Elephas maximus indicus: one gene and its partners. The main gene of each other region encodes a partner of the protein of the gene in region 2 in a complex. Links are inferred from orthologs where the notes say so. Each region holds a gene or a part of one and is shown on either strand. Other genes may lie near its edges. The genes, in order: SHANK1, ARHGEF7 and PAK1.

Region 1 (10,471 bases), on a different chromosome or scaffold from region 2:
AGCGCTCAGCTGCAAACCTAAAGTTCAGCTGTTTGAAGCCAGGAGCTAGTCCGTAGGGGAAATTATGTGGCAGTCAGCTTCCACAAAGATTTACAGCCTTGGAAACCCTATGCGGCAGTTCTACTCTGTCCTATAGGGTCACTATGACTCGAAATCGGGTATGATGGGGAGAAGGGGGGGCTTTGGGTTATCCCAAATGGCATGGGGCATCCCAAGTTAAGTGGGGGGCCCTGGAAAAGGAATAGGTGGGTTGAGGAATATGGAAGGTTGTTGGGAAGGCGTGGAGAGTTGGGGAGAGGGTCTGGGGAGGGGCATGGGGAATAAATCCCAGCTTTGTTCTCTCACCTTCGTGTGCAACTTGGCCAGCTGCTTCTCATCCAGGTTGGTCTGTTTGTACACTCGGGTCTTGTATCGAAACTGAGGCCAGGGGCAGGGTGGGAGGAGAGACACAGAGACTCAGAATCAGGAGCCTGGGGAGGAGAAGATGGGGGAGCAGGGCCTGCCCCATGCTTCCGGGCCCCTTCTGAGCCAGCGGTCAGCTCAGGGTTGAGAGGAAGGATGTGAAACTGCCATGGAACCTTAGCTGGGCGGACAGAGGGGTGGTAGCTGGCTTTTCTGAGAGTGCCAGGCTGTTGTGGGGTATGTACACTGCAGCCTCTATCATGAAGAAGTAGGAGTCTGCAGTGAATGTTCTAGAATGCTTATCATGTGCAAGACCTTTTACATCTATCCGCTTCCCTGTAATTGGGAGGCCCCCATTCTATCTGGTGGGTTAGGAGAAGCTTAGGGTGGGGAAGGGACTTGCCCAAGGCCACTGAGATCTGAAATCACCCACTAGGTTTCCCCTAGGTCTTGGATAAAATGGAGGAGAGGGTAGATGTGTTGGGGGACACTCCTCGTGTTGTCAGCAAAGGGCGTGGGGAACTGTGGGCCTCACCTCCAGGTAGGGCACCCCCTTCTCGAAGGACTGGGGGTACTCGCGCAGCAACCTCTCCTCCTCCAGGAAGTTGGCGTCACGGCCCGAGGTGGCCGGCTGGAACAGGCCGTAGTTGAGCACGTCCTGCAAGCTCTCGCTCAGGGCACAGAGCACCTGCTGCTTGGCTGTCCAGATGGTGGCATCGGGGTTGAAGCGCAGGCATTTCTGGTGGGGGAGGGGATAGGCCAGGAAGAGGGTGTGTCAGGGGCCAGGGAGGAGCCTGAGGTGGGTTGGGAGGAGATGAAGGGCTGGGGGAGGGCGATGATGGTACTGAAGGCAGGAGGGGGACAAAGGGGCTTCCTGGGAGGGCACCCAGGATCAGAGGTCCACCCATGTCCCCCTGTCCTCCCCGCGGTCACTCACCGTCTGGTGCAGATCCGGGATGCCTATCCTGAAGACCATCATGCTGAAGTGAGCGTCGTCGGGGACAGACATGGAGCGGCCCTGGAGGCCTCGCACTGAGGCCAGACTACCAGGTGCCCCGCTGCCCCGGCCCCGGGTCCCCCGGGGGCCTCTCCCGGGCCCGTCTGGGGAGCTGTCGGACTCTGAGCCCCCCTCGGGACACTCGCTGGCACTGTGGCGTTCCTCGTCCTCGCTGGACGCGGGGCTGTGGGGCATCGTGGGGCCACGGGGCGACGGGGGGTGGCAGCATCACAGGCGGCTGCGGGGGCCAAGGGAAGCCGTCAGACTAGGAGCCTGGGACCCCTCAGAGGACCCGGGACCAGCGGCCACGGGCGCACCTCATTGCATATATCTGCCGGCAGGAAGTAGGCTGGGCACACCCCCAGACACTCCGCCCCTCGGCCGCCTCCGCACGCGCACGCACACGCACACACCCCCAGCCCGGCCACGCTCCCAGCACATGTCTCCTTCCCTGCCCTTGGCCTTCCTCGCAGCCCCCCGCCCCCCTGCGCCCCACTTTGCCGCTGACCCAGCGTCGCTGTGTCCCAGAAACCGCAGAATCACCGCGGGAGCTACTGGCCCACTTTGTCAGGCCACAGAAAAGGCAGCTAAAATTAGCAGAGGACAGACAGGTGGACTGAGCGGCCGGCATCCTGCCCTCCTGGCCCTGGCCTGGCCCCTCACCCTGGGCCCTCCCTTCCTCTTCTCCTGGGGAGCTGGGGGGAGGCTGAGGCTGCGAGGTAGTAAGGGAGAGACGGAGATGCTGGCAGCCTGGGGCGGGAGGAGCGGGTGCTGGAGCAGGTGGGGCTGGTGACTCCACAGGCGTGTGGCTGCCAGCGTGTGTGTGCACAGAGCTGTTAAGGGATTGACCGTCCCAGGAAAGCAAGTGGGCACCGAGATGGGGTGTCACAGGGCAGGGCATCGTGAGTGGGCTGTTCCTGAGGGAATCACCAGAGGTGGCCTAGGGAGGTAGTTGGGAGTATCCTGAAAGGGCGTGCGGGTGGGCGAGAGGCTGACCCCGGGAAGACCAGAGATGTGGTGGCCTGGATCGGTGTCGGGCGGCTGCGGGTGACCTATGGGTCTGTTCCAGGACTAGCGCTGCTGGCGGGTGGATTGGCATGGACTGGTACTGGTGGCTCCACTCTGTGGGGGGGTTGGAGGGCTGGTAGGGAGACTAAGAAGTGGGGTGAGGGTCTGGGGACTGGGCTGGGAGGCCATCTGCAACCCCCCGCTGTTCTTCCTGAGGTGGCCTTATAAGGATGGGTCCCAAGTGGGGTCCTCTTCCCCCATGTTCTCCCCCACTCCCACCCCAGCACCGGAAACCAGGATGTCTGGTCTGGTCCCTCCCCCCCACGCCAGGCCCAGCTCCTGCACGGTTGCCATGGAGATGGGAAGCAGTGGAGGGTACTGCTGACTTTGGGGGAGTGGGGATGGGCTGAGGGGTGGGGGAGGGAAGACAAAATGTGTATGGGGGGCAGGAGAGTTCCAAGAGCCAAGGCGAGCGAGCATCTAAGCACCAGCCGGCCAACCCCTCCCCCACGAGGGGCCAGCGCTTCGTAGCCCCCTCCCCCTCCAGGTACCCAACAGCGCTGCTCCACCCTGCCCTTCCGGGGACCCCGGTCTCCTTCTAACCCTTCTCCCGGCGCTCACCCAACGTCCCACCTCCGGCCCTGGGGCCCCGCAGCCACTCCCCCTTGACTGACCCTGGCTGACCCTCAGCTTCAGTTCAGCACTAAGGAGGTGACTGAGTGGATGAAAGGAGAGCCGGCCCTGGCCCCCCGCGCGCGCGGCTGTCCCCAAGCCCCTGGACCAGCGCCGGCCCCTCCCCCTCAGGCCCCGAGGGAGGGAGCGGGCACACTCCGCCGGGGCGGCATGAATCAAACGCTCCTCGGCTAAGAATAGCTGGCACGCAGCTGGTACCGAGACGGGCTGAGGAATCGGCAAGGGGGGTGGAGAAGAGGAGAGAGGGGGTGCCCTGGGAGGCTGCGAGGGGACGGGGGGCTGCTGGCGGGGCCCGAGAGCCGGCCCGGGAGAATGAATGGAGGCGGGGAGAGGCGGGGAGAAGGCACTGGGGCTCAGGCCGAGACACTGGTGGGGGAGAGCTCTGGCCGGAGAGAGGGGGCGGGGGCACCGGGAACGGGACTCGGGGGCGGGAGGCGAGGGGGCGCGCCGGCCGGTGGAGCAAGGAACAGAGACGGGGTGGGGGTGGCGGGAGCATGGGGAGGGGTGGAGAGGGGATAGGAGGCGCCTGGAAAGAGAAGCAGGAGTGTGAGAGGGTCGAAGGGGGCGAAGAGACAAAGGCCGAGACCCCTCGCCGAGGTGGGAATTGGGATGATCTGGAGAGGGCCTTGAGCTGTGGGACCGCAGGAGGGGGCTAGGAGCCCATGTGGTCCAGGGTGGGTGAGGCGGGGGAGTGGCCGGCAGGGCCAGGAGGCGGGCACGGCAATCGAGCCCATGGCCCTGGAGCACCGGGAGGCGGGTTCGGGCTGGGGGCGCTGCTGGCGGGATATAGGGGTGCATCTTCCCAGCCCGGCTGTCATCTGGGACGGGACACGGGGGACTGGGGCATAACCCACTTTGGCGTCGCCCGGGTAACGCTCCCCTCCTCACCTACACCCCACACCCAGGCCCCGGAGCCCGGCGCGCGGCCAAGGACATTCGGGGCGCCCCTGCCTCCTCCCTCAGCCTTAGCCCCCCCGTTCACCCAAACCCCGGATCCCCGGCCCCCTTACCTGCCTGGCGGGGCTGCAGAGTCCCGGTCGGCGGCGCCCGTGGCCCCTCCCCCCTCCCCCCACCCCCCACCCCCCCGGAGACGGGGGACCCTCAGGCCATGCCCCACCGCCCCGGAGGGCGAGCGGGCCCGGGGAGGGGGCGGGCGGGGGCCGGGGGGGAGGGCGAGGGGGCCGAGAACCTCACCCCCCCCCGCGGACCGGGCTTGGCCATCCGCAGAGCGCCCCCCCTTCCGCCGCGGCCGCCGCGCCCCTCCTCGCCGGCCCCCGGCTCGGTCCGGCCCGCTCCGGGCGCCGCGTCTCCGCCTGTCTTCCTCCTCCTCTTCCTCGGGCCGCCGCCGCCGCCGCCCGCTCCGCGCCTCTTCTGCCTCCCTTCTCGCTCTCTCGCTCTCGCTGTCTCTCCCTCACCCTGTCTCTTTCTCTCCCTCCCTCTCTCCCTCCCTCCCCTTCCTCCGCCCTCTCCCCTCCCTCCGGGAGCCGGCGGAGGAGACATCGCCCCTCCCTGCGCCCCCAAACCTCGCCCATCCCCCCCACCGCTGGCTCCACCCCCTCTCCAAGCCCTCCCCCCCACTCCTCCCTGCCACCGGGTCCCCATACCCTGACTCCACCCCCACTGGCTTCCATACCCCGAAAACGGGCCCCACCCCCCTGGGGTACCCCATGCACACCCCAGGGCAGCCCCTTCCCAGAGCGCCGCTCACCCCCTCTAAGCACGGTCGGGTGCAATAAATATTTGTTGCTGAGATCTACACCCCAAATTGGATTATGAGGGTTGTAGATCCCTGTCCCCTTCTCCCCAAACACACACACACCCCTTCTACGGGAACACAGGGCACATGTGGACACACCTGGTGGCATACTTGAACACAGGCACAGCAGGGGGCCCCCAGGCAGACATCCCACTTAGACAAGCCCTGCAGGGCATGCACACCCAAACACAATGCACCTGGGTGCACCTTACCCAAACCCACCCAGCTTGAACACAGGCATATCAGCTCATGGGCCACGGCAAACCTGCTGCCTGTGCGCACGCACATGTAATCCCCCATTCCTCACAGCGCAAATCGCCACATTCATGCCCAGATCTGCAGCCCGAAACAGGAGGCACCCAGCTGTAAGGGATGGATGCATGCATTCCCAGCTCACTCATTCCCCACCTGTCACTCAGGTACTTACGCACACACGAATTCAGATGCCCACCACAGCCATGGCCTAGCTCCCCTTCGTGACAATATAGCTGACATTTACAGAGACCTTCCTGTGTGCCAGGCTCTGGGTTAACTCATCTACTCCTCACACAACCCTATGGGTGAGGAAATTTGATCATCCCCATTTTATAGAAGGGGAAACTGAGACTCAGAGAGACCAAGTAACTTGCCTGAGGTCACACAGCTAGGCAGAGGTGGTGCCAAGCAGGCTGGCTCTAAAGCTGTCACTCAACCACTAGTCCATCCTGCCTGGCACACACGTAGTTGCACATTCTCATTCATCCCATGCATATACAGACATATCCAGCTCGCATGTGCACACATGCACACAGCACACATAGTGTATGCAGATAGCTCATTCATGCCCAGAACACACCCACAGGCACAGGGCAGGTGTCAGAGGGCAGTGAGTGCACGTCCTGGGGGCCCAGGCTGCCACCTGTCTCCCCAGCCCCAACAGGACCTCCAAGGCCACCAGCTTGAGCACAGGCACCTACAGTTCCAGGCACCCTCTGGGTGTACCTACAGCTACAAGCACTCCAGAGTTCCCCCCCCCCCAACCACCACCACCATGAGCTAGAGCAGAAAGACCTGCTTTTGATGCACACCCGGCCCAGGTGGTGAGCAGCTGGGCCTGGGGAGAGAACAGCTGCCCGTGTTGGTGCCAGCAGTGAAAGAGGTTGCACAGCTCTCTACAGTTTACAAGGCCTTTCCCGGCCTATGCAGGGGTTCTGGGCCCTGAGAGGCTGGGGCTCTAGTGAGCAGCCTACCAAGGTCACACTGCCCTTTGCTGTGTAGCAAGCTTTCTTGGAAAACCGAAGGCTGGATGTGTTCATTTCCAAGGCCCCTCCTGGGGCTCCCGGCAGCTGAGGGCAGATGCCCTGCTCTTGCTCAGAGCCAGAAACCTTGGCTAGCTGCCGCCATGCTGGTGACCTCCAGAAGGCCACAATCTCCCCTCCCTGAGCCTCGGTTTCGTCCTTTGACAAGTGGGCCCCGTGATCCCTGGCTAGGGTGCTCCATGCTTGTTGGCAAAACCAGCTCAGCCGTGGCTGGGGAAGCCCTGGATGACTCACCAGGCCTGGCTGGAGCAGGCTTGGCCTCTCCACCTCCTCCCCCACTGCCACCGCCACCTACTACAGGAGACTCGGGGTGTCACCTGAACAGCCCATCTGCGACCTTGGGTGTGTCAAGTCCAGTCTAATGCAGGCAGCCTGGCTCCTCGGAGCCCTGATGGTTCCCCAGTTCCTTGGCTTTAGCTGTGGGGCTCAGAGGGGCCAAGAGGGGGGTGGGAGGGAGGCTAGGGAGACTGACCTTTGGTCAAGCTCTTACCCTGCCAGGAAACACAGCCTCAGGATGCTTCCCCAGACCCCCAATTTTAACCAGCTTACAGCCCCTGAGCTATTCTGGAACAGTTAAACCAGCTGCTGCAGAGCCCAGTCTGACTCATGGAGACCCCAGGGCGTCAGAGTAGAACTGTGCTCTGTAGGGTTTTCAATAGCTGCGGTCTTTTGGACATAGATTCCCAGGTCTTTCTTCCAACGTGTCTCTGGGTGGACTTGAACCTCTGACCTTCTGGTTAGCAGCCAAGTGCATTAGCTGTTTGCACCACCTAGGGACTCCTCTGAAAAAACAAGACCGGGGTGCCCTCAAGTTGATTCTGACTCACGGAGACCCCAGGACACCCCAGACACAGAAACAACTTGTGGAGGGGAAGTTTCTTTAAATGAGGTGGGCAGAAAAACTGAAACCCAACCCACTGCTGCTGAGTCGGTTCCAATTCACGGCAGCCCCCTGGGGTACTGGGTAGAGCTGAGCTCCTAGGGTTTTCTTGGCTGTAAGATTTATGGAAGCAGATCACCAGGCCTTTCTTCCAAATCACCTTTGGGTGGATTCAAACTGTCACCTTCAATTAGTGTTGTTTTGTTAGGTGCCATGGAGTCAATTCTGACTCTTAGTGACCCCGTTGACAGAGTAGAACTGCCCCATAGGGTTTCCTAAGCTGTGTCTCTCATGGAGCCGCTAGGTGGGTTCAAACCGTCAACCTTTCGGTTAGCAGCTGAGCACTTAACTGTTGCACCACCAGGGCAGTAGTAGTCACATTGAAACCCAAACCATTTGCACCATGCAGGGACCTAAGGTGGGCAGAAAGCCCTCAACAATGAGAAGAAATTGGGCAAAGAGCGTGTAGGAGGAGGCAATGGCTGGCACAAAGGCTCTGGAGTGGGGGTGAACTTGGCATTCTGTAAATAGCAGAGACCAGTGTGGCTGGAGCTGGGGGGTGAGGGGAGGGGAGATGGTGCAAAGGGTTCATCCTCCCCAGCTCAGCCAGGCTAGCCAGGCTGGGTTTGGCTCCACTCCTGCATCTGATGGGAAGCTGGGGGCGCAGGGGAGTGGGGAGTGACGTGATCTGACTTACTGGTGGGAAAGATTGCTCTGGCTGCGGCAAGCATCGTGGATTGGAGGGGCTCTGGAGGAAGGAGGGGGAGAGCAGGGAGGAGGCGACTGCAGTGGTCCAGGCAGGAGACAGGCACCTTGCCAAATGCTCAGAGCTCTCCATGAGCCCAGCATCTCCTCCACCTTCTGAAGGAACCTGTCCTGACCCTACCTTTCCCTGCTTGCTCCCTCCTCCACCCCCACCTCCTCTACTACCCCTCAGCCCCAGCCTCTCACCAAGTGGGACTGTCTGTCCAAGTCCACTTGTCCGTGAGCAGCTGGAGTACCCAGCACGGCCTGGCCCGGGTCTGGTCTGCAGGAGGCATTCAGTAAAATGTGGTAAATGAACCCTGGGACACATATGTGTCCCCACAGGCATAACTCACCCACATACACGCACCTGGGACAAGGGCTTGGAGGGTGGGAATAGGAGATTTGAGGGCAGGAATCACCCTGGAGCCTGAGACTGGTTGGAGAGATCTCTCTCTTGGGATGTGTGGGCGATGGTGGCTGGGGGTAATAACAACCTTAGCTGAAACCCCTTCCTCAGGAATGGCTGGGGGTGGGAGAGAGGGGAAGGGGACAGGGCCAAACCATTGCCTGGTCCTGAGGGGCCCTGGTGCTGGCCCAGGCTGGGCCTGCCACCCTCGAAGAAAGCCAGTCCCAGGCTCTTCCTGGCCCTCTGAGCCAGGGTAGAAAGGAAGGAGCAGGGAGGGACCGAGCTCTGGAAAGTGGAAAGAGGGGTGTGTGTGAAGGAGACCAAAGGCAGGCGGATCCAGGCTTTGGAACGTTGGAGGTTTCCGGCCACAGAGGCAGGCCTCCGGGGAGCCAAGAGGGGCGGGGAGAGACACACACAGAGGAGACAAACGAACAGAGACAGGAATTGGGAGGAGAGGGACAGGAGTCCAGAGAAGCTGGGAGAGGCAGGGACCAGGGAGCCAGTGACCTGCAGACAGGGCAGGGCACAGTCCAGTCTCCAGAGACTCCTATAGACAGCAGGACGTCTGTGGCCTTGGGTGCCACAAGCCTAGTCCGATGAGGACAGCCTGGCTCCTTGGGGCCTTGGTGGTCCCCCAGCTTCTTGGCTATGGCCATGGGGCTCAGGAAGCTGAGAGGGAGTGGGAGGGAGGCTGGGGAGGCTCCCAGGAGGAGGAACGGGAAAGGGAGGCCCTGATGCTGAAGGTGAGCTGGGGTGTGTTGGGTCTGTATGGGGGAGTCCTAGGCTCCAGAGGGGGGAATTCCAGAGTTAAAGAAATAGGCACAGAGGATAGGGGTGACGGGATCAGAGAAAGGACTCTGGCTCAGAGAGCAAGTTAAAGTTCAGGGCTGGCAAGGGGAGGGTGGGGAATGGGGGGGTATGGTCCAGCGGCCCTGACCTCCTCTCGCCTGCTCCAGCATTTACAGGAGGCCCTGGGGCTGCCTGCTGGGAGAGGGAATGAAAGTCTTTCCAGAACCTCTGAGGGCAGAGAGGCCCAGGGGGCAGAGGAGGATGGACAGGGAGAGGAAGAGGAGGAAGAAGCAACCCTGACTCCCTCCTCCAGCCCCAGCCCTTCTCCCACCCCTGAGGACGCCATCTCTTACATTCGTGAGTACCCAGAAGCCCCGCCCTGTCCCCAGGCCTCGGTGACCACTTTCACAAAAATGAACCCACAATCCACTGTCTGGTGACCTTTCCGCAGCCCCGGCCACTGAGCCCTACCTTCCAGAAGTCCTGGGGTCCCCCTAGTCTCGTCCCTGGGAGCCCCAGGTGTTCACCCCGCCCCTCCCCAAGTACTCGGGTCCCGGAACCCGCTCCTAGCCCCCACCCAGCGCACACCCCTTCGCTCCGCAGTGGGCCGCCTGGCCGGCCTGGACGCTGGCCTGCACCAGCTGCACGTCCGTCTGCACACGTTGGACACCCGCGTGGCCGAACTGACCCGGGGGCTGCGTCAGCTGCGGGAGGCGGCGGGCGACACCCGCGACGCTGTGCAAACCCTGCAGGAGGCGCAGAGCCGCGCAGAGCGCCAGCACGGCCGCTTGGAGGGTGAGTCCGCGCCAGACCCGGCGGGGGAAAAGTGGGCGACCGGGGCGAGGTGGGAGGCTAGTCGGGGGGGGGAGTTCTGAGGCTAGAGGGGGACCCGGAGTGTCAGGGGCAAAGGGTCCCTGGAGATTTGGTGTGCGTTGGCAGATGGGGAGGGTAGAACAGCTGGAAGGGTGAATGCGGAGAGCAGGAGGGGCACTGGAGGAGGCGCTCGCAGCTTTTGGCGGCGCAGACCCCACTCAGCCGGCGCCACGCCCCCTCCAGTTCCTCCGGGGACAGTCTGGCCCCACCCCTGGAGGCCGAGCAGTTCTCACTCCACCTCCCCCAGCCCCGCCCCCAGAGGCTCTGACTCCGCCTTCCCCCGCCCCCCGGGGACTCTGACCCCGCCCCTTCTTTTTCCATCTCGCTCACAGGCTGCTTGAAGGGGGTTCGCCTGGGCCACAAGTGCTTCCTCCTCTCGCGCGACTTCGAGGCGCAGGCGACGGCTCAGGCGCGCTGCGTGGCGCGGGGCGGGAGCCTGGCGCAACCGGCAGACAAACAGCAGATGGACGCGCTGTCCCGTTATCTGCGCGCGGCGCTCGCGCCTTACAACTGGCCCGTGTGGCTGGGCGTGCACGACCGGCGCGCCGAGGGCCTCTACCTCTTCGAGAACGGCCAGCGCGTGTCCTTCTTCGCCTGGCACCGCGCTCCCCGGCCCCAGCCC
Region 2 (10,296 bases):
GAATATTCAGTTAAGTTTCCAAATGTTTCTTTTTAAGGAAAAATGTCCTCATGCTCACATTCCCACATCTCAGTAAAACTTGTTCAGCATGTGTGCTCTGTGGCGTATTTTAGTTGGTATCCGTGCAAACATCAGAAAGCTCAAGCAAATAGCTCTTCTCTGGAAATGGAAAAAAACCTCATGATTCTTCTGAAACCCAAGGGTTTTGGGGAGGCAAAGACTGGCTAATATTTTACCCTGAAAACTTACCTTTGAACCACAGAGAATTCATAGCTCTAAAATTTGCTACTTTGATGTTAAGCTTTCATTGCCATACAGTCAGTTTAAAGCAAACTATTTTGGGGCCGAGGTAAAAACAAATGGCTTTAATATAAGAAATTTCCAAATGACTCTAGTTTTAGACTCTGTTCGGTTGTCTCACTTTGGCTTCTGCAAGTTAAACATTTTATTCACAGTTCTCTTTGTTCTTTTAGAGATGAAAGCATTGAAACAGTTTTCTAAGAAAACCTTTCCAGAATTTAAAAGAAAATAATTACTGGAGCCTACCAATTGATATTAACGTCTTTAATACCACGAATAACATATGTGCCGATATCGACATGTTCTTATCAACACAGCAGACTGTTACTTAAAGCTTCGCTCTTAGAATTGGAGCAATGTTTTCTTTACATCTACGATGGTAAACTTCCGCATTTTCAGTGCTTTTTTAACATCTGTCTTTTGTTTCCAGAAGTAGTATATCCAGGTGACAACAGAGCATCCTGAGTGCCTCCAGAGTTAAATCCTGCCCTTTATTCTCACCTTAAATCATAATTTTATTGTGACACCTGGTTCATTTACAAGCAACATTTTTATTTCATGGACAGATTGTTGTCATAAATACGTTCCAAATAAGAAAGACACCTAAAACTAATATGTATGCAAAATTAAAGATTTTCTGACATTTAAAATGTAATGCCAGAACGCGTTCAAAGTTATGAGTAAGATTAAATATTTCACTTTTTCAAGTAAAACATTTCATTATTAACAAATGCATTCCACTGTGTATAAGGGCCAATGTGCCCCCATTAGAAAATGAAGCTGGTTTCCCCAATTATGGTTCACTCCAATATGTGCCATCATTTAAATAACTGTGGAGCCTAACATTCTATCTTGGCAAGATATTTGAGATAAAATTGTAATATATTAAAATAGAGGGAATACAACCTCCTTCGAAGCTCTCACGTCCCCTCCCCATGCTTCGTGAGCTCCTGGGAGCTGAAAACAAGCTTTAATCACTTACAGAAATGCAGGTCAAAGTTCACACTGCAGCCACGGGGAAACCACTAGTCAAGAGTAACGGGAAGGAAGGTCTTTTAGGACTATCGATTCTGTTCAGAATCAGGTATGAATTTGAAAACGAAATCTGCAATTTTACACAAGTCTCGAAGAATGCCAGGGCTTTTTTTTTTTTTTTTTTAACTCAAGCTTCTGCAATCCTCTTGCCTGGGAATACAGGAGGCATTTTTTCGCTGGGAAAGTAGTAAACCGTTTCACAGCCCAGCCCTCAGCTACTGATGAATGCGTCTTTTAAAAAATGCACGGGAATCGATCAATTAAACAGAAAAAGGATGAAATGCCAAGAAGAAGAATTGTTCAAACAAAGCCATCAGAGAAAACTGTGCGTGGTACTGGAAGACCGTTTTACCATCAGGTTACTGGAAACGAGCTAGGCAGACCTCACAACACCGAGGAGCAAGTTACCGTCAGGGCGGTACAGAAATCCTATTTCCGACCATGTAAAAGAACTCTTTCTCCCGCCGACCCGCGCCCCCGGCCCGCCGCCTCCGGCCCGCCGACCCCGCGCCCCGCGCCCCCGGCCCGCCGACCCCGGCCCGCCGCCCCGCGCCCCCGGCCCGCCGCCCCGCGCCCCCGCCCCGCCACCCCGCCGCCCCGCCGCCCCGCCACCCCGCCGCCCCGCCGCCCCGCCGCCCCGCGCCCTCGGCCCCGCGCCCCCGGCCGGCCGCCTCCGGCCCGTCGACCCCGCGCCCCCGCCCCGAGCCCCCGGCCCGCCGCCCCGCGCCCCCGGCCCGCCGACCCGCCGCCCCGCGCCCCCGCCCCGCCGCCCCGCGCCCCCGCCCCGCCACCCCGCCGCCCCGCCGCCCCGCGCCCTCGGCCCCGCGCCCCCGGCCGGCCGCCTCCGGCCCGTCGACCCCGCGCCCCCGCCCCGCCGCCCCGCGCCCCCGGCCCGCCCCACACAATGGCGCCCTCCGAGCTCCGGCTGCCTGGCGAGGAGCGCTGTGCGCGGGGAGAAGCGCACGCTCCTGCCCGGCGCCAACCGGGCTTCCAGGGGGTCCGCGCACAAAGGAAAGTGCGTAGGCTTCCTCCCGGGGCGCTCCATTCCCCGCGGGGCACAGGAAGAAGGCGGGGACCGCCGCGCGGGTCGCCAGGTGCCAAGGCGCGAGGTGGTCCGCACGGCCGGGCACTCCTATGCCATCCCGGGCCGCGGCGGCCGGGGACCCCGGGCGGCGAGCTTTGTGCGCCCAGCCCGCAGGCGGCGCGCAGCGGCCGGGCCCCGGGGGCGCGCTCGGTGCCAGGGGGTCCGCGCGGCGGGGGCGGCGCGCCAGCTGCCATAGCACTTACTTTCTCTATGGTCCCGGGGAGCAAGCGGTCCAGCAGCCTGCAGAGGACCACCCCATCTTTCAGAGACGACTGCAAAAAGCCCTCCGGGTCCGAAATGGTTTTTTTGGGCGACTCCAGCACCCCCAAGGTAATGAGCCACGTAACGGTCTGTTCAGCAGAATTCATAGCTGTCCGAGGAGGAGCAGGAGAAATCCGCAGGGGAACCAAGGGGGATGCTGCACCGCCGAGCCTCTCCCTCCTCCCTCGCCCGCCCGCTCGCTCTCCGTTGCTTTTTCTGAGCCCCCTTTTGGCTCGTGGTTTCACATTGGAGCAGCCGGGGCTGGAGCCGCCGATCCCACCTCCTCCTCCTCCTCCTCCTCCTTCCCCATGTAGATGCAGATGACGACGATTGGCTTTGCGAAATCCAGTAGGTCCAGTTTCGCTCCCTCTCCCTGGCTCGCCTTTTGGCAGACTGTCAAGTGCCTTTTCATTATGTGCACATGAACCTGCAGCGGCGGCGGCCCGGCGCCGCCTCCTCCTCCTCTTCCTCCTCCTCCCAGCCCTCAGCTGCTGTCGCCCAATGACATCACTGAAACGAGAAGAAAAGAAGGTGCCGTTTGCAACCCGCTCCACATCCTGTCACCGTCTCGGCGCGTCCCAGCCGCCACCGCCGCGCACGACAGATGGGTCCTCGCTGCCCTGGGCCCCCAGGACAAGTGGGCACGCTGCGTGCGCTTTTGCGCAGGCTTTGCGCGTGATGTGAATGTGACCTACGCCGAATTTAACAAATGGTACCAGGAACACAGCGCCAATGTGACCGATGCCTCGGGGCGTGTGTTTACGCACAGGTGCTTGCCCGTTAGGGGGCAGCTAAATCCAGACTAGCTGTGTGGATAGGCGCCCGTCGGCCCACCCCTCCGTAACCGTTGTCATCAGTATCTCGTGTTTGTGCGCGCGCGCGCTCTTACCTCGACAGCTGCTTTGTAGGCGACAGACCCAAAGAGTCCTTTTGACCTCCAGAAGTCTGGGTTCAGCCACACGCCGAGGTGGTTTTACCAGCTGAGCCCGCGCGCCGCCCTGCCCCCTCGGCGACCACGTGCTGGCCCCTCCGCGCACCGTCTGAGCCGTTTGCGCTCCTGCTCCGGGTCTACGCAGCCGACACCATCTGGATGGAAGCGCCTCCCGGGACTGTCTTCGCTCTCCTGTCCCTTCCGCCGCCCCACCCCCTTCCTTGGAGGACTTGGAAACCTTTTTTTTTTTTTTTTTTTAATCATGAAAGTTTAAATTATTAAATATTTCCCAGAATTCTCATATCTTTGACAGTTTTATTTCAAGAGGGGAGTGAAGGGGGGGAGGGTCCTGAAAACAAGACGTCTTCGCTACCTTGCAAGCCAATAATTACAGAACGTAAATTATAATGAAGTATGTAACCAAACCCAAAAACCAAACCCACTGCCGTAGAGTCGATTCCGACTCATAGCGACCCTATAGGACAGAGTAGAAGTGCCCCTTAAGGTTTCTGAGGCTGTCATCTTTGCCAAGCAGACTGCCCCATCTTTCTCCGGCAGCTGCCGACCTTCTGGTTAGCAACCGAGTTCTTTAACCACTGAGCCACCAGGACCCTAAGTATGTAACCACATGGGTCTAATTCGGGAAGGAATTGATTTTCCTAACCCTGCTGTTTGTCCTTTTAAACGTGCACCGCAATTTAACGCCGTGGTGCTTGTGTCTCGCGTGCCCCCTGCTGGGGGGCTGGTTAATGCGGCGGATGACCTCACCAAATTCTGGAAGGTGGGTGGCTAAATATATGCGAGGACCGTTAAGGGAGCGCATTTTCCTAGGACCGGAAACCTTGGAATTCTCCCACATTAAATTGATGGTGATGTTTCAAACACTGTTGGAAGAAAGTCAAGAAAATAACATAAGCCTAGAGTGGGTTTGTGCAGACGATCAAGCAGGAATATGAGAACCGCTCAAAGTAGGGCGCTTGGCTGACTGCATAGGAGCAGAAGCTCGTCAGGTGGAAGTAGGCCTGGAACGGGTACAGGCCTAAGGAATTCAAACACCAGCCTTCAGGGCACTGAGCAAATTTCTCTAAACAGCTGGTGACGCTTACACATTTATATTGCTCTAGAAGAAATAGGGCCTCTTTTTTGAAGAAAGCCTTCTCTGCTCCTTTTATTTCCATTTGTTCTGCCCCTAGTCTGTTAGTGCTTTCTCTGTTTGCTTGCTGTGACTCTCCCTGAGTTTAAAATAATATTAGCAGTCGCTTACAAAGAGCTGACTGTGTGCCAGGCACATGTATTAACCCACCTAATGATAAAGCCAGAAACCATAAAAAAAAAAAAAAAAAAAACTTTGGAAAATAATGAAAGCAGCTTAACTCTCCTCTTCCTCTTCTTCCTTCCGGAGGTGTTTGTTGTTTGTTGTGCTTTAGGCGAAAGTTTACAGCACGAATTAGTCTCTCATTTAAAAATCTGTGCACAAATTGTTTTGTGACACAGATTATTTCTATCGCAATTTCTACTGCAGTCATTAGTTGCATTAATTTTCCTCTTCGAGTACCTAATTGTCTTGCCACAAACACAAAATAATTAGGATAGCAGTGTGAATTCTGGGCAATGAGGGCCAATAAAGACACAGTGATAACAGCTGCCATTCACTGTGCATCCCCACAGTCAGGTACCATGTCCAGCGCCCTCACCCACACCACTCCATCGCTGCACAACCGTGTGAAGTTATCTCATTATCCTCATTTCATAAAGGAGGAAACGACACTCAAAGAAATGAAGCCACTTGTCCAAGGTCACATTTATTTGCTAAGTGGTAGAGATGGGATTCGAACCCACGATATCTGACTGCAGAGCCAAGGCGTCTATCTAGCTAGCTCTCTACATTGCTTCCCTATAAGGTCTCCAGAAAATAGCAGAGGAATTAACAGCTTTATCAAGTTTTGTTAGGAAACCCTGGTGGCATAGGGGTTAAGTGCTATGGCTGGGAACAGTTCAAATCTGCCAGCCGCTCCTTGGAAGCAGTTCTACTCTGTCCCTTAGGGTCCCTATGAGCTGGAATCAACTTGACAGCACTGGGTTTGGTTTTGGTTTATAAAGTTTTGTACCTGAAGGGTCTGTCAGTGGGAAAGTATCAACAACCCGAGGGTGGTCTTGAGATTCCTGTTTACTTTTATTACTGCCGAATGGGAGAAATAATTTTCAGTACATGTATAGTCACTACAGTTTCAAATTCTATTAAAATTAGGTCTGGTGCAGCATATACCTGGGAAACAAGAGTAAGATTCAAACTGACTTAATAAAATGGTCCTACAAACAACAAGCTCTAGGGAGTGTTCCTAGGTATCCAATTATTATCAGAAAAAAAGCCCACAGACCAAGTACTATAACTAGTCTTTTTTTAAATTGTGGTAAATATAGTAAATATACATGTAGCAAAACCCTGGTGGCACAGTGGTTAAGAGCTACGTCTGCTAACCAAGAGGTTGGCAGTTGGAATCCACCAGGTGCTCCTTGAAAACTCTATGGGGCAGTTCTACTCTTATAGGGTTGCTATGAGTCGGAATTGACTTGGCGGCAACAGGTTTTGTTTAACCCATTTGCCATTCCAACACTTTTCACATGAACAATTCGGTGACATTAATTATGTTTATCATCACCACTACCTGTTTCCAGATTTTTCCATCACCCTTAACAGAAAGGCAATGTCTCCTAAGCAAGGAGTTCCCCTTTCCCACCCTTCCAGCCTACCTCTAGTAACCACGAATAAACTCTGGTCTCTGTATACTTACTTGTTCTAGATATTTCATTTAAGTGGGATCATACACTACCTGTCCTTTTGTGACTGATTTATTTCACTCAGCATAACGTTTTCCAGGTTCACCCGCGTTGTAGCATGTATCAGGATTTCATTTCTCTTTGTGGCTGAGTAATATTCCATTGTATATACCACGTTTTATATATACGTTTAGGCTGTTGCCACCTGTGTTAGTCATCCAGCAGTGCCATAACAGAAATAACACAAGTGGATGGCTTTAACAAAGAGTTTATTTTTTCACAGTCTAGTAGGTTACAAGTCTAAATTCAAGGCTTCAGCTCCAGGGGAAGGCATTCTCTCTCTGTCAGCTCTGGAGGAAGGCTTCCCCTGGTCAAGGAGCTTCTCAGGCACAGGGATCCAAAGGACACACTCTGCTCCTGGTGCTGCTTTCTTGGTGGTATGAGGTCCCCAACTCTCTGCGTGCCTCCCTTTCATCTCTTGAGAGATAAAAGGTGGTACAGGCCACACCCCAGGGAAACTCCCTTCAGTATCAGGGAGGTGACCTGAGTAATCCTTTTAACTGCAGGCAGAGATTATGATTTCTAACACACAGGAAAATCACAAAATGGAGGACAAGTACACATGGCCTAACCAAGTTGACATGTATTTTTGGGGGGGACACAATTCAATCCATTACATCACCTTTTGACTATTGTGAATAATGTCACAATGAATATTGGTGTACAACTGGTCTTTTTTAATAGAAGTACCCCAACTTTTAAGTGCTTTATACTTACTAGTGGCATTTCAAAAACTTTATTTCGAATATATTCTAGATGTTCAAAGCTAGATGTTCCCCAGGTGTTTAATTGAGATGTAACATCCAACGTGGGCATGTGGTTAAACCTGCCTTAAGATTTTTCCCAGTTACAATTCTAGAGCCATGCTGTGTGGAGTAGGATTCTGGAACACAACACTAACTGGTCCCTTGGACTAGAAACACGTTCCATCGCTTCCTGTGGACCACTTGGCCCTGTCTATGGATATTCCTTTGCCTTACCCTCAAAAGGATGTAGACAACATGGTAAATACAGTCAAAGTCACTGTAAAAATGGTTGACACGTCAAATGTTTTATTATATTTATTTCATTACAATAAAAAAAATTTTTAAACCTACTTTAAAAAAAAGAGTGTAGAATGGTTTCAATGCAAGCATGTCCTTTAGCTCCCACAGTTCTCATGAGAATTTCAGCTTTACTCCCAGCTTGCCCATTGCCATCAAGTCGATTCCAACTCATAGCGACCCTGTAGCTTGGCTACCTCTTAATGGCTGATAGCCACATTCCAGGTATTTGTTAGGAGTACACCCACAAACTCAGCTGCAAACCAGTAACTATCAATCAAAAGCTTGGCTGAAGGACACTGTTTGTGTGCGGTTGCCTGGAGGGTGGTCTTATAAATATGTTAAAATCTACCCCAACCTTAAGCTGGCAGGCAGATGGTTATTTACCAGGACTGTGTAGTAATGGCTCCCTGTTGGATCACTTTTATTGAATTGGGTCATCGCCTAGACTGAGGGATGCAGTAAGAGGCAGTTCCATGAAACTCACCGTGTCGATTACAGGTATGTTATCAAAGGCATTCATTTTGAGAAAATTTGTTCTATTTGTCTGGCATAAATATGACCAAATACGAAATATGATGGATGCAAAGCAAGAAAATAGTTTATCAACATATGTGACTGAAATATGACTCAGGATTAGAAAATGTTTTACCAATATACTATACGGTGAAACAAAGTCAACAACATACCTATCCTAGTTTGGGTTTTCCCAAAAGCAGGGCCTCAAGGAAGGACTTGGGTACAAGTAGTTTATTTGGGAGATGATTCCAAGAACCAAAAGTGAAGAAGGAGAAGGTGAAGCTGAGGAGGGAGAAAAGTGAATGTCGTTGTTATATGCCATCCAGTCGGTTCCAACTCACAGCAGCCCGAGGTACAACAGAACGAAACCCTGCCCGGCCCCACACTGTCCTCACGATTGTTGCTCTGCTTGAGCCCATTGTCGCAGCCACTGTGTCAATCCCTCTCACTGAGGGTCTTCCTCTTTATTGCTGACCCTCTACTTTACCGAGCATGATGTCCTTCTCCAGAGATTGGTCCCTCCCGATGACATGTCCAAAGTCAGACGAAGTCTTGCCATAGCTCTCAGCACCACAACAGCACACAAGCCACCACAGTAAGACAAACAGACATAGAGTGGTGGGATAAGTGAATAAAGGGGTATGTAAGTGAGCAATTCCCTGCGGAGCCTCCAAGAAACAAAATGGAAGATGTCTCAGAATCTTCAAACCAGAAGATGAGAACTGAGACATTTATCCATTGATCGTTACCTACTATGATTGAAGGTCTCCCCAGGGCAATGACCTCCAATTCAGCAGAGCCTCAAGTTTCAAGAACAGGAAGAACAAATTCCCCAAGTAGATCACTGGGAGAGATGGTAAAAGGGGCCGATGCTATTCTATCCTCTGGTACCTGGACACATTCTTTCTAGCTATTGGGGGCACAACATCATTAAAGGCGATTGATTCAGTGGCCTACCACATCTTGAAGGGCAGGTCCCTAACACAGCAGGAAGTCATCCCTAAGCTGGTATCGTAGATGAGCCTCCTAAAAGCCAGTCCAATGTCATCATATCAGGCTGGCAGCTTCCAGTCGATGTATATATGGCAGGGCAAATGATTCTGGTGTTCAAGCACCCACGGTCATACCTCCTTCGTCATAAAATGGGTCCTTTAGTCTGAGACCATCTTATGTGGGGTCCTGTGTCAAGAAATTAGGCATTCTGTCAGCCCACAAATAGCTGGCAGAAACTCTTCAGGCAGGGGCAGCAAATTCATGTACACAAAAACAATCAATCCCAGTAAGATGAGTTGCTTCTCCTTCTAGGGCACAAGAGGTCTGACGTAATCAACTTGCTACCAAGCAGCTGGCAGGTTTCCTCAAATGATGTTTGCATATCAAGGAGCTAGCTTCTGTCTCTGCTGTGAGTAGCTAGGTCAGCCTCGGTGAGAGACAGCCCATGGCGTAGGTCTCTTGCACACGGGAATTACTCTGTCTGTGGGCCCAAAGGCTGAGGCTGGCTGCCCTCCAAACAAAAGTCATCCTGTCCACCTGGCTGCTGCTTTTGCAGTGGCTGTTCTCTGATGAACGTTGACATGAGGCTCAAAGATCCACACATCTTGTGTCTATTCCCGTAAGTTCTCTGCATGCCTCTTGCCCAGACCTCCCTGAGGTCATCCCATCTTGTCCCTTTCAGGCACCTAAACAATGAGCCAAACCATCCACTACTGTCCTAGAGTCTACAAATATCCTATGACCGCTTCTTCCTCTGTACAAGGAGATAGCCCAATGTACTGCTCAAAGCTTTGTCCAGTGGGATGATTTTTCCTCACCATTGTCCTTGAGTCGGGCTGTAGTACGGCAACAATCCTTTTTTTTTTGTGGTTCACACCAAATTATCAACCAAACCTATTGACAAACCTAGACCTTTATTTTACCTCCTTCTATCTGCTAGTCGAAAACCCTGGTGGCATAGTGGTTAAGTGCTACAGTTGCTAACCAAGAGGCCGGCAGTTCAAATCTACCAGGTGCTCCTTGGAAACTCTATGGGGCAGTTCCACTCTGTCCTACAGGGTCGCTATGAGTCGGAATTGACTCAACAGCAGTGGATTTGGTTTTTGGTTTTTATCAGCTAGTCAGGAGCCTAGTAGTGCAATGGTTAAGAGCTTAGGCTGCTAACCAAAAGCTTGCCAGTTTAAACCCACTAGTGGCTCCTTGGAAACCCTACGGGGACAGTTCTACTCCATGCTATAGTGTTGCTATGTGTTGGAATCGACTCGATGGCAATGGGTTTATCAGCTAGTCCT
Region 3 (9,999 bases), on a different chromosome or scaffold from region 2:
CAAGCACATGGGTGCTACAAGAATCCAGAGAAGGCAGCCTTAATAGCCTACTAGTCAGGGAAGAGTTTCTTGAGAAGGTGACATCAGAGTTTATTTTTGTCGAATAACAATAATGATAGTTACTAAATGCCTACTATATAATTTTAATCCTTATAAAAACCCTTCAAGGTAGTTATAAATATCTTCCATTTTATATGAAGCTTAGAGTGATTAGCAACCAGGTTGCTAGTAAGTGGCAAAACCAGGATTTGAACCAAGGTGAGTCAACTTTTAAACTCCCCCTTCTATTTCTTTGCTACACCACAGGGTTCCACTAAAAATAGTCTCTCTTAGCTTCTGTTGCTGTTATCGCTAGGTGCCATCAAGTAGACTGTGATTCACAGCAACCTCATGGGATAGAGCAGAACTGCCCCATGGGGTTTTCTAGGCAGTAATCTCTATAGAAGCAGGTCACCAGATCTTTCTCCCAAGAAGGCGCTGGGTGGGTTTCAAACCCCCAACCTTTCCATTAGCAGCTGAGTGCTTAACTGTTGCACCACCAGGGCTCCTTTCGTATCTTACCGCAGCCAACTACTATCTATGTGATCTTAAATAACTACATCTTTCAACCTCAGTTCTGAGCATGGGGCTCAATCACCAGTCCATAAAGCCTTCTCTATCTAGTCTATTCCTTTTCCTCTATTCCTTAAAGATTGAGGCTCAGTTTTAAACTAAGCAGTCAGCAACCGCAGGCATTTCTTTCAGGCTTTAGCATCTGAGCCTTTTTCAAGGCCTGAAAATGCATTCAGGAACAACCATAACAATATTGCAAAGTGCTTTACAGTTTATAAAGTATTCTCATACTCATTATTCCATTTGATCCTCACCAACCCTATGAGATGTTAAGTCCTCATTTTACTGAGGCCAATGGAAGTAAAATGCCTAGCTTAGCTCCATCTGGTTTCTGGATGCTACAGTCCACCATAAATTGAATTTAAGAAAATGGAGGGGGGAGGAAAGGGAGGACGAGATCAAATGACTCATAAAGGCAGCTCAACACCAAGCCACCCAAGTGGCCTGGGGCCAGATGTTAACAGAGACCAGGTGTGTTTCCCTTTCAAGGTAATGTGTGTTTGACCATTGCATAGCGACCTATTATGTGTAACTTTTCTTTTTTCTACCCAGCAGCACCTAGAGTTCAGCCCAAAAGACCCAAAACCAACCCCGTGGCCGTCGAGTAGATTCCAACTCATAAGGACCCTATAGGACAGAGTTAGAGCTGCCCCATATAATTTCCAAGGAGCAGCTGGTGGATTCCAACTGCTGATCTTTTGGTTAGTAGCCATAGCTCTTAACCACTGCACCACCAGGGCTCCTCCAGCCCAAAAGGTAGGCAAAAAGCGGAATGTAAGAAAACTCTTAAACTGGATGAACGGACACGGGGAACCCGGGTATAGTGGTAAAGGAAGAGAGCACCAACACATTGCGGGGATTGCGACCAACGTCAAAAAAATTTGTGTGTGCAAATTTTTGAATGAGAAACTAATCTGCACTGTAAACAAAGCACCATAAAATTAACAAAGGAAAAAGAAAACTCTTTGTATACTATCTGTACACATGGGGTTACGAGATAAAATGATACAGAGAACAGGCATCACCTTTAAAGAAGATTTGAGTTTATGTTCTAGCTCTGCATCTGACTTGCTGAGTCAAAAGTTCCCTCCTCTGCACCACCACAGCCCCTTGTGCTTGCCTCTAGATACTTACCATATGAGGTCACAGGTACCCACACTCTTTGACCTGCACTGGATGGAGGGCAGTCACTGAGTTCAACTTCCACTTTTGTATCCCCAGCACCTGATACCATAACTAACACAGATGGTTCAGAGAACATCTGATGATGAATGGATGCCTTATTCAAAGCTTTTTATATAGATATACATTTCATATTCTGGCCTAGATGGTGAGCACCAGAAAACAGCAACATTGTCACTCTCATCTCTGCTGCCTCTCTCACTCACCCACTTTGGGGACACTACTCAAGAAAATTTTGCTGAGTAGAAATAAACCAGTCCAAAAAGCAAGTCTGCATAGGGGAAGAGAATTAACCTATATGGTCCCTTTCCCAGACTATAGTCCTTCCCTTGCCACCCCCTCCCCACCCACCCCTACGCCCAAATAATCCCTATCTTACCCAGTCACCCTCTTCTTCAAAAGGCCACTGTTCTTCTCCCCCAGAAGAACCTAATCCCTCCTAGGTTCCCACAGGGTTTTCCCCTCTTCTTTCCTGGGCTCATGGGTCAACTTCATTTCTTCAGCAATGTCTCAGAGCTGCCAAAGAGTGTTTGGTCCTCCCCCAGTCACTCATCTCACTAAAGGGAGTTTGAGCCTCTGCCCAGCCCTACTGGACACACTTGCTCTCCTCCAACTCTAGACCTCAAGCCTCTGACTTCCCATTTAATTTACTCCCTACAGCCCACCTGCTGGAAACTCTGGTGGTGTAGTAGTTAAGTCCTGTGGCTGCTAACCAAGAGGTCAGCAGTTCGAATCCACCAGGCGCTCCTTGGAAACTCTATGGGGCAGTTCTACTCCGTCCTATAGGGTCGCTATGAGTCGGAATTGACTCGACAGCAGCAGGTTTGGGTTTTGGCCCACTTGCTGGACCCCCAGGGAAAGAGGTTGGGGGACAAATCCAAAAGGAAGGATTACTGGCACTGGGAGAAGACAGAATTTGGAGGAGAAATCTCATAGCAAGGGAGTTAGGTAGGAAACAGAGCATGCTGAGATCTCACAAAACACCACAGCAAAAGGTCCCTACAAACCAGTAACCTACTAATAATGAAAAAGTTTAACCAGAAATTGTAAGAGGGAAAGAGAAGCCTAACCAAGAATGAAGGACTTAAGAGAGGGAAGGAAAAACTGGCTATGAAGAAGAGATAAGAAAGGCAAAGCGTGAAGGGACCAGGAAAAAGGGAGGAAGCTGGGGTGGGAGAATAGGTGGGTAGGAAGAAGGGCAGGAAAAGATCAGGAGGAGGAAGCTGAAAGAGAAGTGGGGAGAGCTAAAAGAGGCAGGACCAAGGAAAAACCAGGGGGAGGAGGAAAGTTCAAAATAATCTAGGTAGGTTAGTAGAAGGCCTGACATGTGTTTCTTGGTCCCAGATAATTAAGAAGGAAGAAATTACAGTGATTAAGTCATTATACAGCCCCAAGGCTTGTCATTAACTTAGCAGGGAAAGGAAGGGGCTTCACACAAGACAACATAGTTTAAAGCAGCTTTATACACAATACTGAAATGGGCAGCTCAGAAAAAAAACCATTAGCATACCTTGACCTGCTTCTTCACAACCCCACCTCCCTATATCCAAATATCAGCATTCTCAGCCTCTGCCTTGCCCATGAAGTCACTGGGTCCTGGGCAAACCAGCAAGATGCATTCAAAAAGCTAGCTGGAAGAGATAACGCCAAGATCTGCTTCCCAATTTCGCCTCTGTCTCCTACAGTGTAAGGGCACGTTCCCAAGACTCATTCCAGGGCTTTCGCCTGCTCATCTTTCCAAGACACTTTGACAGCCTGGGAAAGCCAGAGTTACAAGCAGGATATCAAGTCTTTCATTGCAGAAATAAAGAAACTGAGGCCCAAAAAGGCTGTCTGAACCAGTACCAGCCCCCCCCCCCCCCCGCCAGGTCTCCCATTTCCCAGTTCACTTATCAGTCACGTAGAACATCCCCCCTTCCCCCGCTCAGGACCCAGAGAAAAGCTCCACGGTCCCAGCAGGCGAGAAGCTAAGCGAAGGCAGAGGTGAGCATCACCCAGGCCACCACGCAAAGGGTACTAGCAGACGAGCGCGGGCTCCCGCAGCAGAGCAGTTCCCCAAAAGCGCAGCTTCCCCTTCACACCCCGGCGAGAGCTCTGATGCCAGTGTAGGCCTAACCCTGGGTGGGATCATCAGAGGGTTCCACCCTCTGCCCCTTCTCTCATTTAGGGCCTCTTAAAAGAAAGGGAACGAAAGGAGGCTTAAAATTCCGGTCTCCCCGGAAGCTGGCGGAGACCCCCAGCGCAAGCCTAGCTGGGCACGCCCCAGGCAGGGCCGGCATTACCTGGTGGGGGGCGCCGACCCCGGCATCCCTGGCGACCTCTTTCGTCGCAGACCCGCAGCTCTCCCGGCCAGCACGACCGCGCAACAGCCAGTCTCCCCGGCTCCGCTCCTCGGCTGGGCCAGGCTCTGGGCAGCTGGACCGCCCCAGCTCCCGCGGTGCAGCACGCTCGCGCCCTCGCAGGGCGGCAGCAAAGGCGAAGCAGAAGGGGCGGAGAAAGAAGGCAGAGAAGGAGGCGGGAGGAAGTACCTTCCCAATCAGCTATTCTCCACCACCCGGTCTCCCAAATCAAACCAAATCAAACCACTGCCGTCGAATCGATTCCGACTCCAGCAGGAGGTAATTTCCCGCCGGAACCGGGCTTTCCAGGTTCTGTCAGAGTCCTGGGCGCGCCCCAGAGTCAAGGAAGAGAACCAGAGCTTCTCTGCGCCTCAGTTTCTGCAGCTGGCTCTGGCTCTGCACGAAGCCCTCTTCCAGGTCTTCTGAAGTCAGATGTCCTACAATTCCATCAGATTGGGCTGCAGTAAAAGCGGTTCCGCACCCCCCACACACACATCCCACACCCCCAAAACGTGTCAGGTCTAATTCTAATGCCCCAGGGAAAACACTGGGTGGGCCCTTATGGCTGTTTCAAAGCAAAGCAAGCTCAGCAGCAGCAGCTACCGTTTAAGTGCTAATTGTATACCAGGGGCTTTACAAATATTAGTCTGTCTCTCATCAGCCTTGTGAAGTGGGGACTACACCAGTTCACACACAACAAAACTGAGGCCTGGGGAGAATGTGGTTTCATATGGTATTTCTTAAGCACCTATTGTGTCTCAGGCACTGTAAGGAGCCCTGAGCTGAACAACACCAAATTGCAGGCACAACACATTCCAAATGCTCCCCGTTGTTGTTTATTGTCATCTAGTTGATTCGTGGAAACCCTGGTGGCGTAGTGGTTAAGTGCTACGGCTGCTAACCAAAGGGTCAGCAGTTCGAATCCGCCAGGCGCTCCTTGGGAACTCTATGGGGCAGTTCTACTCTGTCCTATAGGGTCTCTATGAGTCGGAATTGACTCGACAGCACTGGGTTTGGTTTTTGGTTTGGTTTAGTTGATTCGTAAGGTCGCTATCAGTAAAAAAAACTTGACAGCAACTGGTTTGTTTTTTTGTTTGTTTTTTAGTGGATTCAGACTCATGGCAACCCCAAATGTGCAGAGTACAACTGCACTCCATAGGGTTTTCAAGGTTGTGACCTTCTGGACGCTGATTGCCAGGCCTGTCTTCCAACATGCCTCTGGATGGGTTCGAACCACCAACCTTTCAGTTAGTAGTCCAGTGCTTAAACACTTGTGCCACCAAAAAACCAAACCTGTTACCATCGAGTCGATTCCCACACATAGTGACCCTAAAGCACAGAGTAGAACTACCCCAAAGGGTTTCCAAGGAGTCCCTGGTGGATTCAAACTGCCAAACTTTTGGTTAGCAGCGTAGCTCTTGACCAGTACACCACCAGGGTTTCCTTTTGCCACCAAGGGACTCCTCAAGTGCTCCCTGTTGTTATCATGTCCCGTCAAGTAGTTTCCAACTCATAGTGACCTTATAGGACAGAGTAGAACAGCCCCCATAGGGTTTTCAAGGAGCGACTAGCTGGTGGACTTGAACTGCTGACCTTTCAGTTAGCAGCCAAGCTCTTAAGCATTGTCCCACCAGGGCTCCAAATGGTCGCTAGGAGGTAGTATTACCTCACCGCCCCTTCAGAGAGACTGCAGGAGTCAGATTATGCAGGATCTCTTCCAGGTCACAAATAGGAGTTTGGATTTTTTTATACATACGATGGGAAGTCTTTGGAAGATTTAGTAAAGCAAAATGAGAAGATCTAATTTGTTTTTAAAAGCTCACTGACTGCTGAATGAAGAATGGAGAGTGAAGGGAAGATGGAAACAAGAAACAAGTTAGTAGATTCTTTCAGAGTTCCAGGCAAAAGATGATGGTAATGATTTGGACTAACATATTGGAAGAATAGATGAAAAGAAACAATTATGTAATAAAAATACAGTTTGCAAGGAGAAGCTGCACAACTTGGTGATGGGTGAGAGAAGGCAGTGACTTCTCCAAGACTACACAGCTGGTAAATGGCTGAGTCATCTGAACCCTGGTTTGACTCTAAGCCTACACTTTAGTTCTCTCTGCCTTGGTGTTAGTCTTCTCCATATCAACTACCACTGACACAGACATAAAATTACTGTTAAATTGCTATAAAAGTTTTCTAAACACTTTCAATTTCTATGCTTACCACACAGCAGACTGGAAAAAGTTCAGACCCTACTTTGAGTAGCGCTAGTCTGAGGAACCCTCCACTAAACTCAGTCCTATTTGCAATGACCTTCTTACTACCTGGTTCCCTGAGAAGACATGATAGTGTAAGTGAAGTCTGTGGGAATAATCATTGCCTTTTTTTTTTTTTTTTTAATTGTACTTACTATTTCCGATAATTCAGTCTACAGCTGCATTACCTTTTTAGCCACTGAAATACCTTTGGCTGACATTGAGCTTAGGCAGCTAAAACCACCAGTCTCTTTTTCATAAGAACAGCATCATTCTAGGTCTCCTCCAGTCTTCCCATATGTCCTCATTTCTTTGCAATTTAAAATGCACGACTTCACTGTCATTCAATTTTATATTGTTGGCTTCAGCCCATACTTTCAAGCTCTCTCTCTGCTATCTAGCATATTAGTTTCCTTTGGAGCCTTTGTTACCTTCAAATCTATCATGTATGCCATCTCTTCAAACATTTATCAAACATCTACCATGTGCCCTTGCCTGTGCTAGGTTTTCAAGATTAAAGGATTAAAGATGACCTAGAAATGGCCTGGAATCCCTGGGTGGTACAGTTAATGCACATGGCTGCTAACCCAAAGGTTATAGGTTCAATTCCACCCAGAGGCACCTTGGAAGAAAGGCCTGGTGATTTACTTCCCAAAAATCTGCCATTAAAAACACTACGGAGAAAGTCTATTGAGGAGGAGCCAAGATGGAGGAATAGACAGACACCTCTGGCGAGCCCTCTTACAACAAAAACCAAAAAAAAAAAAAAGTGAAACAAGTATATTTATGACAACCTAGGAGCCCTGAACATCAAAGGCAAGCTTAGAAAACGAACTGAGGGGCAGGGGGAGGAAGCAACGGTTCAGAAGCAGAGAGGAGTTACCAGACCTGAAACACAGGGAGCCCTCAGGCACCATTCCTGGAGGCGGCTGCGGCAGGCTGGTACTACCGTTCAGCCACAGTTTCCTCAGGGAAAAGCAGCCAGCCACACAGCCTACTCACACCTCCAGAACCAGAGAAGAAGAGCACTCTCTGCAAAAGCTCGGTACATGCGTATATTTTATTGCCCCACCCCACCCCGCCCCCAAGCTGGCTTCAGAGGCTGTTTTCCCTGGACCTGAGGTAGGCCCTGTTGAATGCTTAGAGCCATCCTCCCAGCGTTGGAGAAGGAGTAAATTTGCAACTGGGGGAGAAGATAATTTGCCAGCTCCACTAACCAGGGGACCTCAGGACAGAAGCAGCTCCTGTACAGGCATAAACAGTCCATGGACTTTGAGCACCTTTCCCCTCTACATGGACCTGTGTGGGCCTATTTAACAATAGGCCCTTGTTGGCACACTACAACTGTTTCAGCTGTGCGGCGGAAAGGTGGGTGTTTGATGTTTGACATTGCTTTGCCTATTAAACAGGGTCCTCACCTACTCACATCAGGGTCCTAAGGACTGGTAGCTCCACTCAGGTTACCCAGTCACCTGCAACATGGGTCCAAGGATAACTGGTACCTCCCAGTCCTTACAACCAAAAATATTGAGTGTCCATGGTCCATCTACAGAAGCCACCCACCTGTATGCTGTAGGGAACAGGGACACACTTTCCTCAGAGACACGTGGGGGATGATTCTCAGCCCCCTGCCTTGTTCAGAGCATGACACTCTGCTGCAACCAGATACGGGTACCTACACCAATCACCCCTGCCCCTCTAAAACTATAGGACAGAGCCTGTATCACATACTTGATGACCAGCTACCTGGACACCTGAGCTGAATTCATACAAGAAAAGTGAATGGATTCCTAGACTGATATACCTGATAAGAGCTCTAGCCATCTGGGGACTGGATTCAGTGCTACAAAGGTGAAAATAATCAAGCTAGCTCACTCCAGCAACCCATTTGGGCATATCGAAACAAAACAAGGCAAGAAGCTATGACACGATAAGCAACCATAAAATAAACTAATACAATAACTTATAGATGGCTTGGAGGCAACAGTCAATATCAAGTCACATAAAGAAATAGACCATGATCGCCTCAACAAGCTCTCAAAACATAGAATCAAGGGATCTTCTAGTGAAAGTGCCTTCCTGGAATTACCAGAGGCAGAATACAAAAGATTAATATACAGAACCCTTCAAGACATCAGGAAGGAAAAGAGGCAATACAGAACAAGCCAAGGAACACACAGATAAAGCAATTAAAGAAATTTTAAAAATTATGCAGGAACATAATCAAAAATTTAATAAGCTGGAAAAAATCCATAGACAGCAATCAGAAATTCAGAAGATTAACAATAAAAGTGCAGAAGTGTACAACTCAATAGAAAGTGAAGGAGCAGAATTGAGCAAGTGGAAGGCAGAATTTCTGAACTTGAAGATAAAGTACTTGGCACCAATATATTTGAAGAAAAATCAGATAAAAGAATTTTAAAAAATGAAGAAAACTTAAGAATCGTGTGGGACTCTATCAAGAGAAATAGCCTTCCAGTGATTGGAGTACCAGAACAGGGAGGGATAACAGAAAATACAGAGAGAATTGTAGAAGATTTCTTGGCAAAAAACTTCCCTGATACCGTGAAAGCTGAGAAGGTATCTATCCAAGTTGCTCATCGAAAACCGCATAAGGTAGATTTTAAAAGAAAGTCACCAAGACATGTTATAATCAAACTTGCCGAAACCAAAGATAAAGAGAGAATTTTCAGAGCAGCTAGGGATAAACGAAAAGTCACCTACAAAGGAAGGTCAATAAGAATAAGCTCGGACTGCTCGGGAGAAACCATGCAGGCAAGAAGGCAATGGGATGACTTATAAAATGCAGGAAAAAAATTGCCAGCCAAGAATCTTATACCCAGCAAAACTGTCTTTCAAATACGACGGTGAAATTAGGAAATTTCCAGAAAAACAGAAGTTTAGGGAATTCGAAAAAAAAACGAAAACTACAAGAAACACTAAAGGGAGTTCTTTGGTTAGAAAATCAATAATATCAACCCAATACTAGAGCACTGGGCAGAGCAGTCAGAAGTCAACCCAGACAGAGAAATCACAAAAATAAATCAAGATAAAAATATGCTCAAAACAGGGAAACAGCGATGTTATTAAGTAAAAGAAGACAACATTAAAACAATAAAGAGGGACTAAGAAACGTAGTCACAGATCTTCCATATGGAGAGAAAAACAAGGCAATACAAAGAAATAAAAGTTAGGTTTAAATTTAGAAAAATAGGGGTAAATAATAACGTAACCACAAAGGAGACAAACTATCCTACACATCAAAATAAAATACAAGAAAAAAATAGAGACTCAGCAGAAACAAAATCAACAACAAGGAATATGAGGAAAGGACAATATATAATCTACTCAGCACATAAAATTAAGTGGGAAAAGCAACTGTCAACAACACACAAAAAAAAGATGCCAAAATGATAGCACTAAATTCATACCTATCCATAATTATGCTGAATGTAAATGAACTAAATGCACCAATAAAGAGACACAGAGTGGCAGAATGGATTAAAAACCACAATCCGTCTATATGCTGCCTACAAGACACACACCTTAGACTTAGAAACAAAAACACACTAAAACTCAAAGGATGGAAAAAAAATTTATCAAGCAAACAACAATCG

What was found.
Region 1: the proteins of ARHGEF7 (region 2) and SHANK1 are in contact, whole or in part, in a crystal structure (PDB 3L4F), measured with the Rattus norvegicus proteins. The link is inferred for Elephas maximus indicus from reciprocal best matches to the Homo sapiens genes ARHGEF7 and SHANK1. Residues at the interface, in XP_063131056.1 of Rattus norvegicus: Asp735, Ala737, Trp738, Asp739, Glu740, Thr741, Asn742, Leu743; in NP_113939.2 of Rattus norvegicus: Gly673, Phe674, Gly675, Phe676, Val677, Leu678, Arg679, Gly680, Ala681, Lys682, Phe696, Glu703, His735, Arg736, Val739, Ile742.
Region 3: the proteins of ARHGEF7 (region 2) and PAK1 are in contact, whole or in part, in an NMR structure (PDB 1ZSG), measured with the Homo sapiens proteins. The link is inferred for Elephas maximus indicus from reciprocal best matches to the Homo sapiens genes ARHGEF7 and PAK1. Residues at the interface, in NP_001106983.1 of Homo sapiens: Lys192, Phe193, Phe195, Thr198, Asp201, Glu202, Glu217, Gly220, Trp221, Trp232, Pro234, Ser235, Asn236, Tyr237; in NP_001363202.1 of Homo sapiens: Thr185, Pro186, Pro188, Val189, Ile190, Ala191, Pro192, Arg193, Lys198, Arg203, Ser204.

Annotation. Positions count from the first base shown.
Region 1 is NC_064829.1:97,699,389-97,709,859, reverse strand, and holds the start of SHANK1 (SH3 and multiple ankyrin repeat domains protein 1), read right to left. Parts: upstream 4,163-10,471; 5' UTR 4,111-4,162; intron 1,726-4,110; exon of another isoform or gene 1,638-1,725; 5' UTR 1,595-1,637; coding exon 1,340-1,594; intron 1,142-1,339; coding exon 938-1,141; intron 418-937; coding exon 346-417; intron 1-345. Other genes in the region: CLEC11A (C-type lectin domain family 11 member A), read left to right, coding at 8,784-8,930, 9,144-9,333, 9,580-9,771, 10,182-10,471. UniProt on the Homo sapiens protein: Seems to be an adapter protein in the postsynaptic density (PSD) of excitatory synapses that interconnects receptors of the postsynaptic membrane including NMDA-type and metabotropic glutamate receptors via complexes with GKAP/PSD-95 and Homer, respectively, and the actin-based cytoskeleton.
Region 2 is NC_064841.1:77,017,715-77,028,010, reverse strand, and holds the start of ARHGEF7 (rho guanine nucleotide exchange factor 7), read right to left. Parts: upstream 3,741-10,296; 5' UTR 3,570-3,740; intron 3,201-3,569; exon of another isoform or gene 3,191-3,200; 5' UTR 2,788-3,190; coding exon 2,623-2,787; intron 1-2,622. UniProt on the Homo sapiens protein: Acts as a RAC1 guanine nucleotide exchange factor (GEF) and can induce membrane ruffling. Functions in cell migration, attachment and cell spreading. Promotes targeting of RAC1 to focal adhesions. May function as a positive regulator of apoptosis.
Region 3 is NC_064825.1:44,659,216-44,669,214, reverse strand, and holds the start of PAK1 (serine/threonine-protein kinase PAK 1), read right to left. Parts: upstream 4,255-9,999; 5' UTR 4,077-4,254; intron 1-4,076. UniProt on the Homo sapiens protein: Protein kinase involved in intracellular signaling pathways downstream of integrins and receptor-type kinases that plays an important role in cytoskeleton dynamics, in cell adhesion, migration, proliferation, apoptosis, mitosis, and in vesicle-mediated transport processes.